Rhinolophus ferrumequinum: one gene and its partner. The protein of the gene in region 2 binds, or shares a complex with, the protein of the main gene of each other region. Links are inferred from orthologs where the notes say so. Each region holds a gene or a part of one and is shown on either strand. Other genes may lie near its edges.

Evidence for each region. The genes of interacting proteins can lie anywhere in the genome.
Region 1: AHI1 (region 2) and TCTN1 share a complex: the UniProt entries of both Homo sapiens proteins name them as parts of the tectonic-like complex. The link is inferred for Rhinolophus ferrumequinum from reciprocal best matches to the Homo sapiens genes AHI1 and TCTN1.

The regions. Positions count from the first base shown.
Region 1 is NC_046308.1:6,242,951-6,250,334, forward strand, and holds the start of TCTN1 (tectonic-1), read left to right. Parts: upstream 1-4,378; 5' UTR 4,379-4,439; coding exon 4,440-4,659; intron 4,660-4,775; exon of another isoform or gene 4,776-4,940; intron 4,941-6,288; coding exon 6,289-6,409; intron 6,410-7,384. UniProt on the Homo sapiens protein: Component of the tectonic-like complex, a complex localized at the transition zone of primary cilia and acting as a barrier that prevents diffusion of transmembrane proteins between the cilia and plasma membranes.
Region 2 is NC_046286.1:81,984,955-81,992,254, forward strand, and holds the start of AHI1 (jouberin), read right to left. Parts: upstream 3,001-7,300; 5' UTR 2,792-3,000; intron 2,698-2,791; exon of another isoform or gene 2,473-2,697; intron 2,034-2,472; exon of another isoform or gene 1,813-2,033; intron 1,193-1,812; 5' UTR 1,135-1,192; coding exon 1,107-1,134; intron 1-1,106. UniProt on the Homo sapiens protein: Involved in vesicle trafficking and required for ciliogenesis, formation of primary non-motile cilium, and recruitment of RAB8A to the basal body of primary cilium.

The sequences.
Region 1 (7,384 bases), on a different chromosome or scaffold from region 2:
CTCAGAAATCTCACTCCTAGGTATGTACCCAAAAGAAATGAAAATGCATGTTCACACAAAACCTGTATGTGAATGTTTAAAAACTGTCTTATATGTCATTGCCAAAAACTGGAAAACCTCAAATTACTTCAACTGGCAAAGAAGAAATTGTCACATATCCATTATGGAACACTTGTCAGCAATAAAAAGGAGTGGATTGAAATAAACTCTTGCATATATGGCCAACTGATTTTTAACACGGGTGCCAAGACTACACAATGAGGAAAGGCCAATCTCTTCAACAAATGGTTAAAAACTGGATATCCACATGTAAAAGAATGAAGTTAGACCCTTACCTGACACTATATACAAAAATTAACTCAAATGGTGTAAATACCTAAATGCAAGGCCTAAAACTATTACATTCCTAGAAGAAAACTGAATCAGAGAAAAGCTTGAACATTGGATTTGGTAATGATTTCTTGACTATGACACCAAAAGCACAGACAACAAAAGGAAAAATAGACAAATGGGACTACATCAAACTAAAAAACTTCTGTATATCAAAAGAGACATTCAACAGTGAAAAGACAACCTATGGAATAGGAGAAAATGATTGCAAATCATATATCTGATAAGGGATTAATATCCAGAATATATAAGGAGCTCCTACAACTCAGCAACAACAAAATGCTGATTAAAAAATTGGCAAAGGACTTGAATAGACATTTCTCCAAAGGAGAGATACAAATGGCCAATAAGCACAAGAAAAGATGCTCTACATCACTAATCATTAGGGAAACGCAAATCAAAACCACAGTGAGCTATTACCTCACACCTGTCAGGATGCTACTATCAAAAGAAGAGAAAATCATAAATGTTGGATGTGGAAAAGTTGGAACTCTTGTACATTGTTGGTGGGAATGTAAAATAGCGCAGCCATTGTGGAAAACAGTATGGAGGTTCCTAAAAAAATTTTTAAACAGATTACATTTGATCCAGCAATCCCACTTCTGGTATACGTCCAAAGGAATTCAAAGCAGGGTTCCAAAGAGATATTTGCACACCCATGTACATAGCAGCATTATTCACAATAGGTAAGAGGTGGAAGCCACCCAAATGTCTATCCACAGATGAAAGGATAAAGAAAATGAGATATACGCATACAATGGAGTATCATGTGGCCTTAAAAAATAAATCCTGTCACCTGCTACCACCTGGATGACCCTTAAGGACATTATGCTAAGTGTAACTTGCCAGTCACAAACGGACAAGTATTGTATGATTCCACTCATATAAAGTAGCTAAAGTAGTCAAAATTAAAGAAATAGAAAGTAGAAAGGTGGTTACCAAGGGCTGGGGGGAAGGTGAAGGTGGAATTAGTGTTTAGTGGCTACAGAGTTTCAGTGTTGTAAGATGAAAAAGTTTTAGACATCTGTTTCACAACAATGTGAAAACACTTAGCAGTACTGAATTGTACACTTGAAAAATGATTAAGATGGCAAATTTAATGTTGTATGTTTTTTTTACAATCATCATCATCATCAAAGGAATGGATTGTTGATACTCATACATGCAAGATGGATGAATCTCAAAGGCATTAGGCTAAATGAAAGAAGTCAGGCTCAAAAGGCTGCATTCTCTATGCTTCCACTGATGTGACATTCTGGAAAAGGGAAAACCATAGGGAGAGAAAATAGATCAGTGTCATCAAGGGCTGGGATGGCGGGAGGGACTATTAAGGGGCATGAGGGAACTTTTGGGAGTGGTAATATTGTTCTATGCCTTGATTGTGGTTGGGATCACATGACTGTATGTGTTTGTTAAAACTCATAAAACTGTACACCAAAAAAAATGTACATTGATGCATGAGAAAAACCTGGATATCAGAAACTGTACATAAAAATTTATACTGTATTAAGTTATCCCTCAATAAAACTAAAAAGAAAAGTGGGGTAAATATGACAAAAGTTCTAATCTGCATGGTCTTGGTCCAGTGTACAGTGTTCTTTTTTGTACCTTTCATTGTGATTGAAATGCTTCAATCTGAAAATAATAAAAACAATAATGATTCTTAAAAAGCTAACTAGTTTATTCAAACTGCAGTATGGTCTAATAGGACGCAAGTTTAAAGTTGTCTGATAAACAAGGAATTCTTATTTCATTCCTGTCAGTGTTATGTCTGTGACCGTATTTATAACTTCATTTTCAGAAAAGGTCAAACTTGTACATTTGAAACCTTTCAAGATAGTGAAGTCTGCTCAATAGGCCTTCTTGCCCTCATGTTTCAGACAACATCTGAAGAGCAAGAATAGCACTGGTGGTTGACTAAGCACTTGGGGAATGGGAGGAGTAGAGAAGTTGAGGATTGCTTTCTTCTGAGTGCTGATCTAGAAATCTATTGCTAGATTGCTCACTTCAATCAAAACAATAGAGTCAATCCTTTGTCCTTACACAGCCTGGACCTCCCTGTAGGTCTAAGCAATCCCTTTATAAAGCTTGATGATTCTGCCTTCTTATTTGTAAAATATTTGGCTCAGATGAATAAAGATGGGTAGATATACTTGATCATAGGAAAAACTGTTTCTAAAACAGCTTAGAAACTATGACTCTAGCGATAATAATAATAATAACCAATTCATCCCAAACCACAGGAAACACCAAGACCGACTGGTTAACCCGGCCTTGTAAAGTCAGCCTTAGCTATTTTTCTGCCTAGCTAGTACTTCTGTCTTTGGTTTGTTTTCAGCCTCCTCATATGTGGCAGCTTCCAAGTACAAAATTCCAAAAAGCTGAATTGTCCTGATTCCTCCCAATGTTGGCACAGACTATGAGGAATTGAGAATGCCAATAATCTAGGAGAAACAGATGGACATTTTTAATCACAAACATTTACCCTACAACCTAAATGTTGCAGTTTTGGACAAAATATGGAAATCTTAGCCCTTCCTTGTGTCCTTCCATCCTAATAAGGGAACCTACCAAGGCCAGGGGAGAAGGAAGGGAGAAAGGATCATCTGGGTTGAAAGATGAAAAAAGCGTGGCAGAAATGGGTCACCTGTGAAATGACAAGTTTAGCGTTCCCAAGGTTTGCAAAATGGATCTGAGGTGATTCAACCCTCATTTCGATTTTCTAAACTGTCATAAAATTACGTTTGGGTCATCTCCCAAGTATCTGAGAGTGGACAAACGGGGTGGTGAGATTATTTCCTAAACCATAAAGCATAAAGATGACAATGTTAAATTTAATCTAACAGCCTAAAGTTTCAAAACAGAAAATAGGACAGAGTGATTCACAGATATTAAGGAATAGAAAAGAAAGTATCTAGAAGTAAACAGGTTTTTAAAAAACAATAGTGCTGGATTTAGAGTTATGGGATGAAAGTTTGGAAAATATAGTTGTTGTTTTTGTTAAAGGTAAGCATTACATCAGTTATTAAAAGTAGTCCAGAATTTCAGTCACATGTTAAAGCAATCCTTTGTAGAAAATAAAAAAGGAAATATCAGTATTACACATTTGATTCAATTACATTTTTATACACTTTGGAATGCCACAGAAAAGTACTAAAGATGTCCCTTTGATGATTTAGCTTTGCTATATAAATTCAATAAACTAGATATATATACTGTTTGGGCATTCTTCTAAACTGGTAAATGTGTTTTTTAAATAAATACCATGATATGTTTAAGTATTCTGACATTTACTTCTGAATTACAAGGATATTAAGTATCAAAGGTATTGCAAACATCCTGGGCCGGAGTATCTCTGTACATAAGTCACTTTGGAATGGAGGGGCTCCCCTAATTTTGTAGTCTTCAAGTCATTTTTAGAGTTACAGAGTTGCTTTGATTTTTTTCCTTTTAATACTTGTAAGTCATTCCACTTAATTTTTGTCAATGTTTTTTGACTGTAAAAAAGTTAAGTGTTCATTTGTCCCCTTTATCACAACACAACGAGCTGAAGTTATCTGGCGACCTGCTGCGAGATAAAACAAAAAAGGCAAACCAAGTGGTGACAGTGTGGGATAGAGAAAATTCAAGGATGGTGATGTCATCTCTGTGCTCCTTCAAAAGACCTTATTTAGTAGCGTCCCAAATTTCTGTCCCCCCACCGGTTGCGTCCGGACATTTGTTGAAAATATTGATTCCTGGACCCTGCCCAAAACTGTCTGAGTCAGAATCCCCTGAGATGGAATTTGGAAATCCGCATTTTTTAAACAAGCGCCCCAGTCGGCTTGGGAACCGCAAATCTGATATACACAAACCTCTAGTCTCCGCCGACCGGTCTCTCACCGCCCCTTGTCGCACAGTCCCGCGGTGGCCCGCCTCACCCAGGCCCCGCCCTCAGCCCCAGTCTCGCGTGTCTTCGCAGGATACTTCCCGTGAAGCCCCGCGCCGGCCGCTGTGGTTGCCAGGCAACGCGCGGTCCCTACCGCTGGCCGCACGGGTTCGCGGCGGCGATGTCGCCCCTCGGCTTCCATCCGCTCTTGCTGGTACTTATGGACTGCTGGGCCTCTGTGCGCGCCCAGGCCGGGGCCACCCTGGCGGTGACGACGGAGGCTCTCAACTCTACGGAGCCATCCCCGACGAATTTCCGACCTGCCTTGTCTCCTAGGCCCCCGGGACTCCCCAGGGTCCCCGGGCCCTTCTCCGGTCCCAGGCCCACCCCAGTCACGGATGGTGGGTACTAAATGCCAAATCCTGGGGATCCAGAGTGATCCATCCTGGAGGGGTAGCCCGGATGAGGATGTAATAATAATGATAGTTACCGTTTATTGAACACTTACTTTGTGCAGGCATTGCTAAGCGTTTCATAGGCATTAATTCTCTCAACAACCTTCAGAGGTAGATATTATCCTTGCCATACAGATGAGAAAGCCGAGGCTAACAGAGCTTTAATTGGGACAATATCAAATCCTTGAAAGTACTTGCAGAGGTCTTGGACAACATTCATGCGCAAGGTAATAATAAATGAGCCTTTGCAGCCAAAGTCGCAATTAAACCGAAAGTGTCTAGACAGTTGTGGAAATTAAATGCATAGGATGCACTGAACTTTTCACTTACCAAAAAGAGACCCCAAAAGTTTACCTTACTAAATGTAACCAGGTGAAATCTCACTGTCTGTTAACTTGAATTATGAAAACCCCGAATTCCTCTTGTGTTGAGTTCGAGATGGGAAGTTGTGGGGTGAAGGGTTATGTCCACTTTTTAGGATTCATCTTTAAAAAATTAAAAAACTTAAGTGGGAAAACTTTTGTGTTTCAGACTACGAGAGGATTTTGTATTTATTGACAAAACCTTCCCTTTGTCCTTACACACTTCTTTCCAGAGTATGTTATTGTACCTTTTTTGAGCTACATTTTTCTAAAAGTCATTTTTATTATGAAATAATTCATACATGCGAATAAGAATGTTTTATGGACTCTCTTCCAGCATTTACTTGAGATCCTTTTTTTGGGGGGGGTTGTTTTTGCATGAAATCCTTTTGAAAAAAAGAAAACATTGCAGGTTAATATTGAAGTGCTAATGTGTTTCCTGCCTACCCAGAAATAATTACTGCTATGAGTTCAGAGTTTATCATTCTCATGCTCTGTTATTTCTTTAAAAGGGGTTCCCACCCCCCATTTGACAGATTAAAATAGGGAATTAAAAATCCAGATAGTCGTCATTATTAAAAAATTAAAAGTTGCTACCTTTCCCCATGCTTTATTGTCTATATTACTAGAGATATTCCTACGGCCCCAAGTATAAAGCACTTGAGTCATTTTGATTCTTGGCCAATAAATAGCCTGCTAATGTGGGCTCAGCCTCAAAACTGCAGGTGATGTCTGAGGAGAGAAAGAAGATTGAGAACCTTGATTCCTGGTGGCCTTAAGTGGGCCCTTCCTCTGAATCAATCTCTAGGGGAGGAATTTGGGAATCTGCAGTATTAAACCGGTGGTTCTTATGGTCAGGCAAGTGATTTAGTTTGCTGGTTCTTAAACCTGTCTGAGTTATCAGCATCACCTGGAAAGTTTTTGAACAACACGGATGTCTGGGTTTCACAGTCAGCTTACCAGATCAGAGTCTTTGTATATAGAGCACAAACAACGTTCCAAGTGAGTGAGATGGTTGGCCACTTTGGGGAAACCCCAGCTTGAGGAGTGCTGGAACTGATTGATTTTCACTTCGTAAATTTCCCCCAAATTGCAATAGGAAAAACCAAATGGGCCTTTTGTATGAAATGGACTTTTGGTACATTGCAGTGGCAGGGGGCGCGGTCACTACCTGCAGATTGTGATGCTCTGTATCCCACCTGTCTTTCTGTAGTTGCTGCTCTTTGTGTCTGTGACTTGTCCCCAGCACAGTGTGACGTCAACTGCTGTTGTGATCCCGATTGCAGCTCCATGGATTTCAGTGTCTTTTCTGCTTGCTCAGTTTCAGTTGTCACGTAAGTTTGTGACACATGCAGTTTTGATAAAATCGGACCAAGATTATAAACTTTCAGGACGGAAAGTGAAAACTCCCCCAGGCTAAAACACCCAAACCTGATTTTCTGAGTTTTGCATCATTCAGAAGCCATGTTGTCCAAACCTGTATACAGAAGAGTTATCTATCCCTTATTTGCATCCAGCCAGATGATAGTGCAGGCAAAAGAGAAGAGAGTGTACTTTTTAAAAAGAGTATAACAAAATCTTTGTGTTCAAAGATGGAATTACATTTCAGTTTGATTTGTAAAGAGATAACATGTCACATTTTTGTATCAGTGAATTAGTTGTATTTACAGCCTAGGGTGAAAGGTACAGTTCAATTTTACAGCTTTTGTGGTGGACATAGTACTTATAACAAAAAAATTAAATAGTCAGGTAAGCTTTGTTTATATTTTTCTGATGTGTAAATCTACCAGGAATTCTCACAGTTCACATCATATAGGAAAATAATGGAAAATGACATTCCCAGTCCATTACACGGTAAAGAAATAATCCTTTCTGAATGATCTGTTTCTCCTAATTCAGATTTCAAAACTTCTGGGAAAAAACAGCATTTAAAGAGGCTAATTTATTCAGGATGGGATCAACATACTATTCAAAGATAGCCAATTTAAATTTAACCTTGTAGCAAGTGGTAGTAATTGATACTTGATAGATTGAAAGCTTTTTGCAAGTACAATGTGTTTTTCCCATGAGAAACTATTTTACTGACTAATGGGAAATTGAATTTACTTCTAATGTTGTAAAAATGCTTGGAGAATGGGATGTTGTAGTCAGATTATTTTTTTCTGGCTACCTGGACTACACCATGGTTTAGTCTATGTTGAAAATTATCCTGCTTTCCTGCCTTAGGAAGTACTAGGAGCCTGAGAGTGAGATTTCTGCCCCAATTTGAGATCATTCTTTAGAATATCAGTTCTTTTTTATTAGCCAAT
Region 2 (7,300 bases):
TTCACATGCCCTTCAGGATTCTCTATTCCTGGCCTGCCTACCGCTACAGCTTCAAATCAAGACCAATGTTCCCTGAGATCCCTAGATTCGAGCTATACCACTCTTCTAGATCCTCTGTCAGAACAAGCTCCTTTCCATGCGAAGCTGCTTCTCCCCATTTGGAAGCTTCTTAACTCTTCTAAGCTCTCTGGTGGAAGTTTCCTCTAACCCCTCGCCTGACTTGTATTAAGCTGCCTGTTTAAATGCTGCCTCTAAAGTGGACTGTTTCTCGACAACCTCGTCTAAATTTCTGTTTCTCACATAGGAGACTATTTTTTTCCTTCACAACACTTAACCCAACTTGAAATTGTACAATTACTTGTATATCTACATAAATAAACATACCATCCGTCTCTTTCACTATACTATGTGGTTTATAACTATATCCCCAGCTACTACTGTGTTTCCCCAAAAATAAGACCTAACTTGAAAATAAACCCTGATGCGTCTTTTGGAGCAAAACTTAATATAAGACCCGGTCTTATTTTTGGCGAAACATGGTATCATGCGGTCTGGTCTGTCACAAAATAAATATTCAAAAAAGTATTCAATAAATAATGCTTAATGAATGAGTGAATACCCCAGAACAGGTGTTGGCAAACAACACCTGCAGGCCAGTCACCTGTTTATGTAAATAAAGTTGTATGGAAACAAAGCCATGCCCACTGTGCTAAGAATTGTTATGGCTGCTTTTGTGCTTCAACGGCAGACAGAGTTCAATAGCTGTAGCACAGACCAAGCCTAAAAATATTTATTAGCTTGCTTTAAAAAAAAAGTTTGCCTCTGACTGCTTAGAGTAAAACATCCATTTTGAAAGGAAAGAATGAAAACTAACCATATGCTGTAATTATTATTTACTCTGTCCAGCTGAGTCGCAAACTGCCATCCATTGAATACTATTAACCTTAATCACCAATATCAAATAGAAAATTGAATACTGAACACTTAAGTATCTCTAAATGTTAATATTTGGTTGATGACATCTACTTTATTCATTAATCTATTAAAGTATCCCTTAAAATAATCCAAAATTTAAAGTAAGTAAATAATATGGATTGTATACATACATTTCATGCAAGTCTCACCGGTGAGCATATCTCAGCTTTATGGGGAACACTGCGTTGTAACATAAAGCATTAATTCAATCAGGAGCCTATTAAAACAAAGAGGATTTATTTGGAATATGAAAGTTCCAAACAAAAATTGTATTCTTCAGGCATAATTATGTCATTGTTTATACCAATCAGTTTTAACTCATCATGTTTATACCAGTTTCTCTCATCTCAATCGTATGCAAATAACTTGAGTACATTTGGATCAGTTTAGAGCACAAAATAAAGTGAAGAAGCAAACTGGATCATATTTGAATAAAATACTTACATTTTTAAAACAAAAACAATTTTTAAATTTTGAAAGGCAGTAAACATCTAACTTGGTATGTTAACACACTTTTCATTAAATGTTTTAAGTAAAAAATGAACATTTCAATGCATTTTTAAGAAACCAAATTCCATCTCAGGATTGACTTTCCTAAGAGCATACACTCTTATATTAGTAACCTATGCTTGTGGGGAGCACATTCACAGACAATGAATTTACAACTCTGTGCCTGTGCTCGCCTTGGCAGTACATATACTAACAACCTCTGTGCCTACCACTGAAAATGCTACTGCAGTAGAAAAGCTTAGCAGAAACATTCATCCTCTTTCTCAAATAAATACCTGCGTGTGTATTATTAAGTATCAAAACCATGAGTAACCAGTACATATATACCTGAGTTTCCAATTTTACTCAAAGAGATGGAGGTGTGTCCAAAACAAACAATTCTCACATTAGAACATGCTATGCATAGATTTTTAAGAGTAAAACTGAAGACATTAAAAAGAAAAGAGAAACATAATTTGAGTTGGCTCAGCAATGATCAGTTAAGGCTCCAGATCCCTGGGGTCCATATTCCTTTTCCTTTGGTATCAGGGCATTTTGGACAGAAAAGACTGAGAAAAAAATGGTAGAAAGAAAAAAAAATGATTATACATATACACCTAATTATGGGAGTTCACTTATGTGAACTCCATCTAGTATGCAGATAAAAGACATCACTAAATCCACATAGCAAAAACTCCTATACTTTAGTGTAAGAGCCTATACTCATATTTACATTTTAGTAAATACAGATTTAATAAGCCTGGCCATCTATTTTCCAGTTATCCCAAATTCGAAAAGAGAGAGGCTGCACAACCATTTGGTAGGGATTTGTAAATAGCCTACGTATTTTTTCTATTTTTATACCTATCAAAAAGACCCTATTCATGTAATTCGACTCTTATAAACGTAAAGCATCGATCACATTTTCTCAGATGTAATTAACAAGGTATTCAAAGGTTCAATATTCAGCACCAGGTTGGCATCCTAAAAAGAACGAAGCGAACTTACAACGCATCTGATTTAAAAGCATTTAAACCATAATCGGACGTAGGAGAAGCAAAGATTACATTCACTCCTTCAGGACACGGCGCCGAAGTCCGGAGCCAAGAAGTCCAGGCGAGGGAGCAGAAAAGTATGCTGATGTATTTCCCCAAAACCACATCCATCCGCTCGGCGGCGCTTGGCCGCTAAGCTTGCAGTGGCGCAGTGCCACCTCCACGCCCTCGGATCCACACAGCCCCCCACGCCACTGCCCCCCGGGAAGGCCGGGGCCGACCGAGTGCCTGGGCCCGGGCTCCCGCCACCAGCGCGCCTGCTGCGTACTCACGGGTAGGAGAGCGCAGTACGGCAGACAGCCCGTCTCGCCAGAGCCAACCCCGGGACAATGCGAAGCGGCTTCCCGCGCTACGAGGAGCCCGCTGGGCGTAAAACGGCAACAGGGCTACCCCCGCCGCCAGTAACCCCGGCTCTGAAAAAGCGGTGGAAGCCGCAGTGCAGACAGCGCGCCGCCCGCTGACGTCAGCTCCTACCTACGCCACCGTTCCCTTGACAACCGATGCGGCCCAGCCTGGACCGCTGCCCTGCTTCCCGCCCCTCGGCTGTCCCCGCCCTGCGCCGCCTCCGTCTCCGCCCGTAGGTCCAGACGTGCGGCGCCTGCAGAGGCGGCGTGCGTGCGCGCCCGCCCGTTCGCGAAGCCACAGACTGCCGCCGGGAACGCGCTCCGGAACCGGAGTCCGAGCGGAAAGCTCAAGGCCGCTGTGCGGCCCTAAAAGGGAGAAGAATCCACTACCTCTGAACGGCAAGGGGCCCCGGGGATGCGCAGGTGCCCCTGGAGCCTCAGCCCGCCCCCCAAAAGCGTCTCTGCGCCTTTGGCCTGCAACCAGCGCTGGGTAAAGCGGTAGGGGGCAGAGCGAGCTGGGAACGCGCCAAACCTAGGAAACGTGAATGAGGGGAAGAAACAGATTCATCACTCCCCACGCGATGGCGCCCCAAAATGAAACATTCTTTTAAGCGTGGAGAATGAAAAGTTGTACTACAGATCAAATCTTAAGGAAAAAATTGGCCACGATTCATTTGGCGGTGAGTTATCTCACTATGTATTTAAAGCAGAACAAAAACGTCATCTTTTTTCCACACCCAATACCCCCTCCCACTTGCTAATTTCTGCCCCAAGCGCCATCTTTAGCCCTGAGTCACCAGGGATGGAAAAATACTAGACAAGTCACTCTTCGACTCTGGAATTTTCTGTAGTTGTACTCACGCACTATAATAACCTGTTGCTTCGTTTGTACATTGAGAGCCTATTTGGAGGCCAGCTTTTCCATTCCCATTGGCATCACCGTACGTTACAAAGCACATCTCATTTAGTGTTTCTCCAAATCCTGTGAGAAGGCGCTGAGAAATATTACCAGTCCAGTGCGTCTCAAAGTGAACTGGTCACCTTTCCACTCAAAACCTACTTCCCTTTCCGGACTACTATCTTGGTTTAAGCCACCATCATCCTTCCAGGGTTGTAGTTAGACACGTATGGAACATCCTAAATACCTCTCACACCCAATTATGTCCATTCTACCTTTTTAACGTCCCCAGTGTACAGCTGATCCATCGTAACCCCCCCTACACCCCCCCTGCCTAAAGCCAGCCTTCATGGCTTCACAGGGATTATAATAAGAGGGCCTCTTTATCAGTGCCCTGACCCGTTTGGATCACTGAATTCCATTCTCCACACTGCTAACCAGAATGAGCTCACTAAAAATATAAATCTGATAATGCCACTCTCCTGAAAATTTTTCGAAGATGATCTGTAGGAGAAAACTCTAGTTATTTTGCCTATAATACAAGACACTCCATCTCCCTGACTAGTTTCATTTCTCATTGCCTTGTTTCTGTGTTATGCTTCAGCAATATTGAAGTAGGTGCACCACAACAATCTATTGCACAGATTGTGCTCTTTCCCTGAAAAGCCCTCCTTATAAACTTGTACTTCTGCGTGTCTCAGCCCAAATGTTGTCCATCCTTTGAATCTTAAGTAGGTTGAGTAATTCCTCCAAACACTCCTACTATATATCCTATTATGCTTTGGACACTCATTCTTTTTTAATATTTTAATTGTTTGCGTTGTACTTTAGTTTGTGTAGGCCCAGCATGAAGCACAGTACCTATTAAATAATGTGCTGCTTCATGAACCTTTGTGAACGAGTAATGGATGACATACGAGGTCTGTCAATTAAGTTCACGATATTGCTAACTTTTTTTGATATCAGAAGGATTATTCATTATGAATTTGTACCAACTGGATACATAGTTAACCAAGTTTACTATTTGGAAGTGCTGAAAAGGCTGCCTGAAAAAGTTAGATGAAACAACCTGAATTTTTCGCCAACAATTCATGGCTCTTGCATCACGACAATGCACCAGCTTACACGGCACTGTCTGTGAGGGAGTTTTTAGCCAGTAAACAAATAACTGTATTGGAACACCCTCCCTACTCATCTGATCTGGCCCCAATGACTTCTTTCTTTACCCGAAGATAAAGGAAATACTGAAAGAAGACATTTTGATGACATTCAGGACATCAAGGGTAATATGATGACAGCTCTGATGGCCATTCCAGAAAAAGACTTCCAAAATTGCTTCAAAGGGTGGACTAGGTGGCATCGGTGCATAGCTTCCCTAGGGAAGTACTTCGAACATGACCATAGTGATATTCAGCAATGAGGTATGTAGCACTTTTCTAGGATGAGTTCACGAACTTAATTGTCCTACCTTGTATATTGAGCTCCTTCTAGGAGCTATGCATTACAGGTGTTTTATGTACTTTTCATCTGTCCTCACAACTGTGATGTAAGTACCCACTTTTACAAAGAGAGGTTATAACTCTGGCTGCTCATTCTTAGTCAGGTATTTTCATAACACATTCTGCAGTTTATCAGACTGGCTGAGATGTATACCAGTCGTCTCTTGCCCAGACCTTTACAATAGCTTCCCCCGCCCCCCAGGTATAATGGGGGCGGGGTTGGGGGTGGCAGGGAATGTTTCACAACAGAAGTGACATTTAAAAATATGTAGAGTTGTCCAGGTTGGGAACGGTTTCTGGGTAGAAGAAAGTGGGGTATAGAGTTCACTTAAAGAAAACTTGGCACAATCCAAGAACTGAAGTAAATTCAGCATGGCTAACTGAAAAGTCAAGAGTGAGGTGAGGGGCTTTGGGAGAAAGTAAGACAAGAGAGAGAAGCAAGTTATGAAGAGACTCAGTATTATAGGGTCAATGAGATATCATTAAAGATTTTTAACCATGGAATAAAATGGTCAAATTTTAATTTCAGAAAGGTAACTCTGGCTGCAGTGTGGATGATTGATGGGAAGAAAGCAAATTTAGATAATAGGGATATGAGTTAAGATGCTGTTACTGTTAGCTATATAATGGTGGTGATATGGGCAGTCAGAGACGAGAAGTGCACCAATTCAAGAGATTTTTAAGAGATAGAAATGTCAAGACTTGATGATTGATTGGATGGAGGACTGAGTGAAAAGAAGGATTAAAACATGATAACCAGCTCATTTGCCTCCTTCTTGCCAAGTGAAAAGGTAGCAAGCATGTCAGGGCCTGAAGTTTACATGAAAGGGAAGTGAGGAAATAACTATATTGAGGCTAGTGGGAGCCAAGTCTCCCTAACAGAGAAGGGAGTTACAAATAGGGAAAGGAAGCATTCCAGAATGGCCCTTGTGGTGGTATTGGGGTATTGAATATGTAAACTCAGTTTTCAATATATATATATGTGAACACATACGGAAATACAGATAAAAGTATATGTGTATGTAGGTGTGTATTCTATCATCTATCTATCTATCTATCTATCTATCTATCCTCTTAGTTCTATCTGCTGAAAAGGTGTAGGAGCAATGATACCCTAGAAGCAATTATCACACAATGCCTTTTTTTTTTCCCCCCAAGGAGGGCACAGCTCACAGTGGCCCATGTGGGGATCGAACCGGCAACCTTGGAGTTATTAGCACCACGCTCTAACCAACTGAGCTAACCGGCCACCCCCCTAGATCATGGTTCCTAAACACCATTCTCTGCTGAAAGGAACTAGAGCCCCTTGGAGAAATGGCTGATTCCAGAGTAGCAGCAGGGAAAGTACAGCATGAGTCTGGAAAATCTGGTTGAGCTGGAAATTAAGGAAGTTCTCAAAGAATGATGGATCAAGAGGACATAGAAACCAACTGGCAGGAGCCCTCATTGGCCACATCTGGGGCAATCTGAGAACCACTATAGTGTTAATAGATTATGATCCACTGAATAAAATAGAAATAGATGAGTTCATGCTGAAATAAATACATGGATTTTTAAAATGGGGACAAAGAAAAGTTCTTCCCTACCTTAGAATGCTAATTAATGTGTTGAAGGAATAATATAAGTAGAAACATCACCATTGACAACTGTCGCAGCAAAAATTGATTTAGGCAAGAATCATCAATGTATGCCAAAACTAGAGGGTAAGAATTTTGAAAGGAACATAATATTCATATAGTCTCAAAATATCTCCCAATCAAATACTTGTTGATTACAAAGGGTAAAAATAGAAACTTGACAGTGCAGAAATTTGGCACTGGTGACCAAAGTTACTATCCCAGTAATAGGACAAATCAACACTGTGCCACCTAGTGAGAGACACTTATAACACACTGCTGTGATATTTCTGCCAAAACACACCACCTGAATCTAATCTTGAGGAAAGATCAGACAACCCCAAATTGCGGGACATTCTACAAAATAATAGGTGTGTACTCTCAAAAGTATCAAGGTCATAAAAGACAAAGGAACGCCTAAACA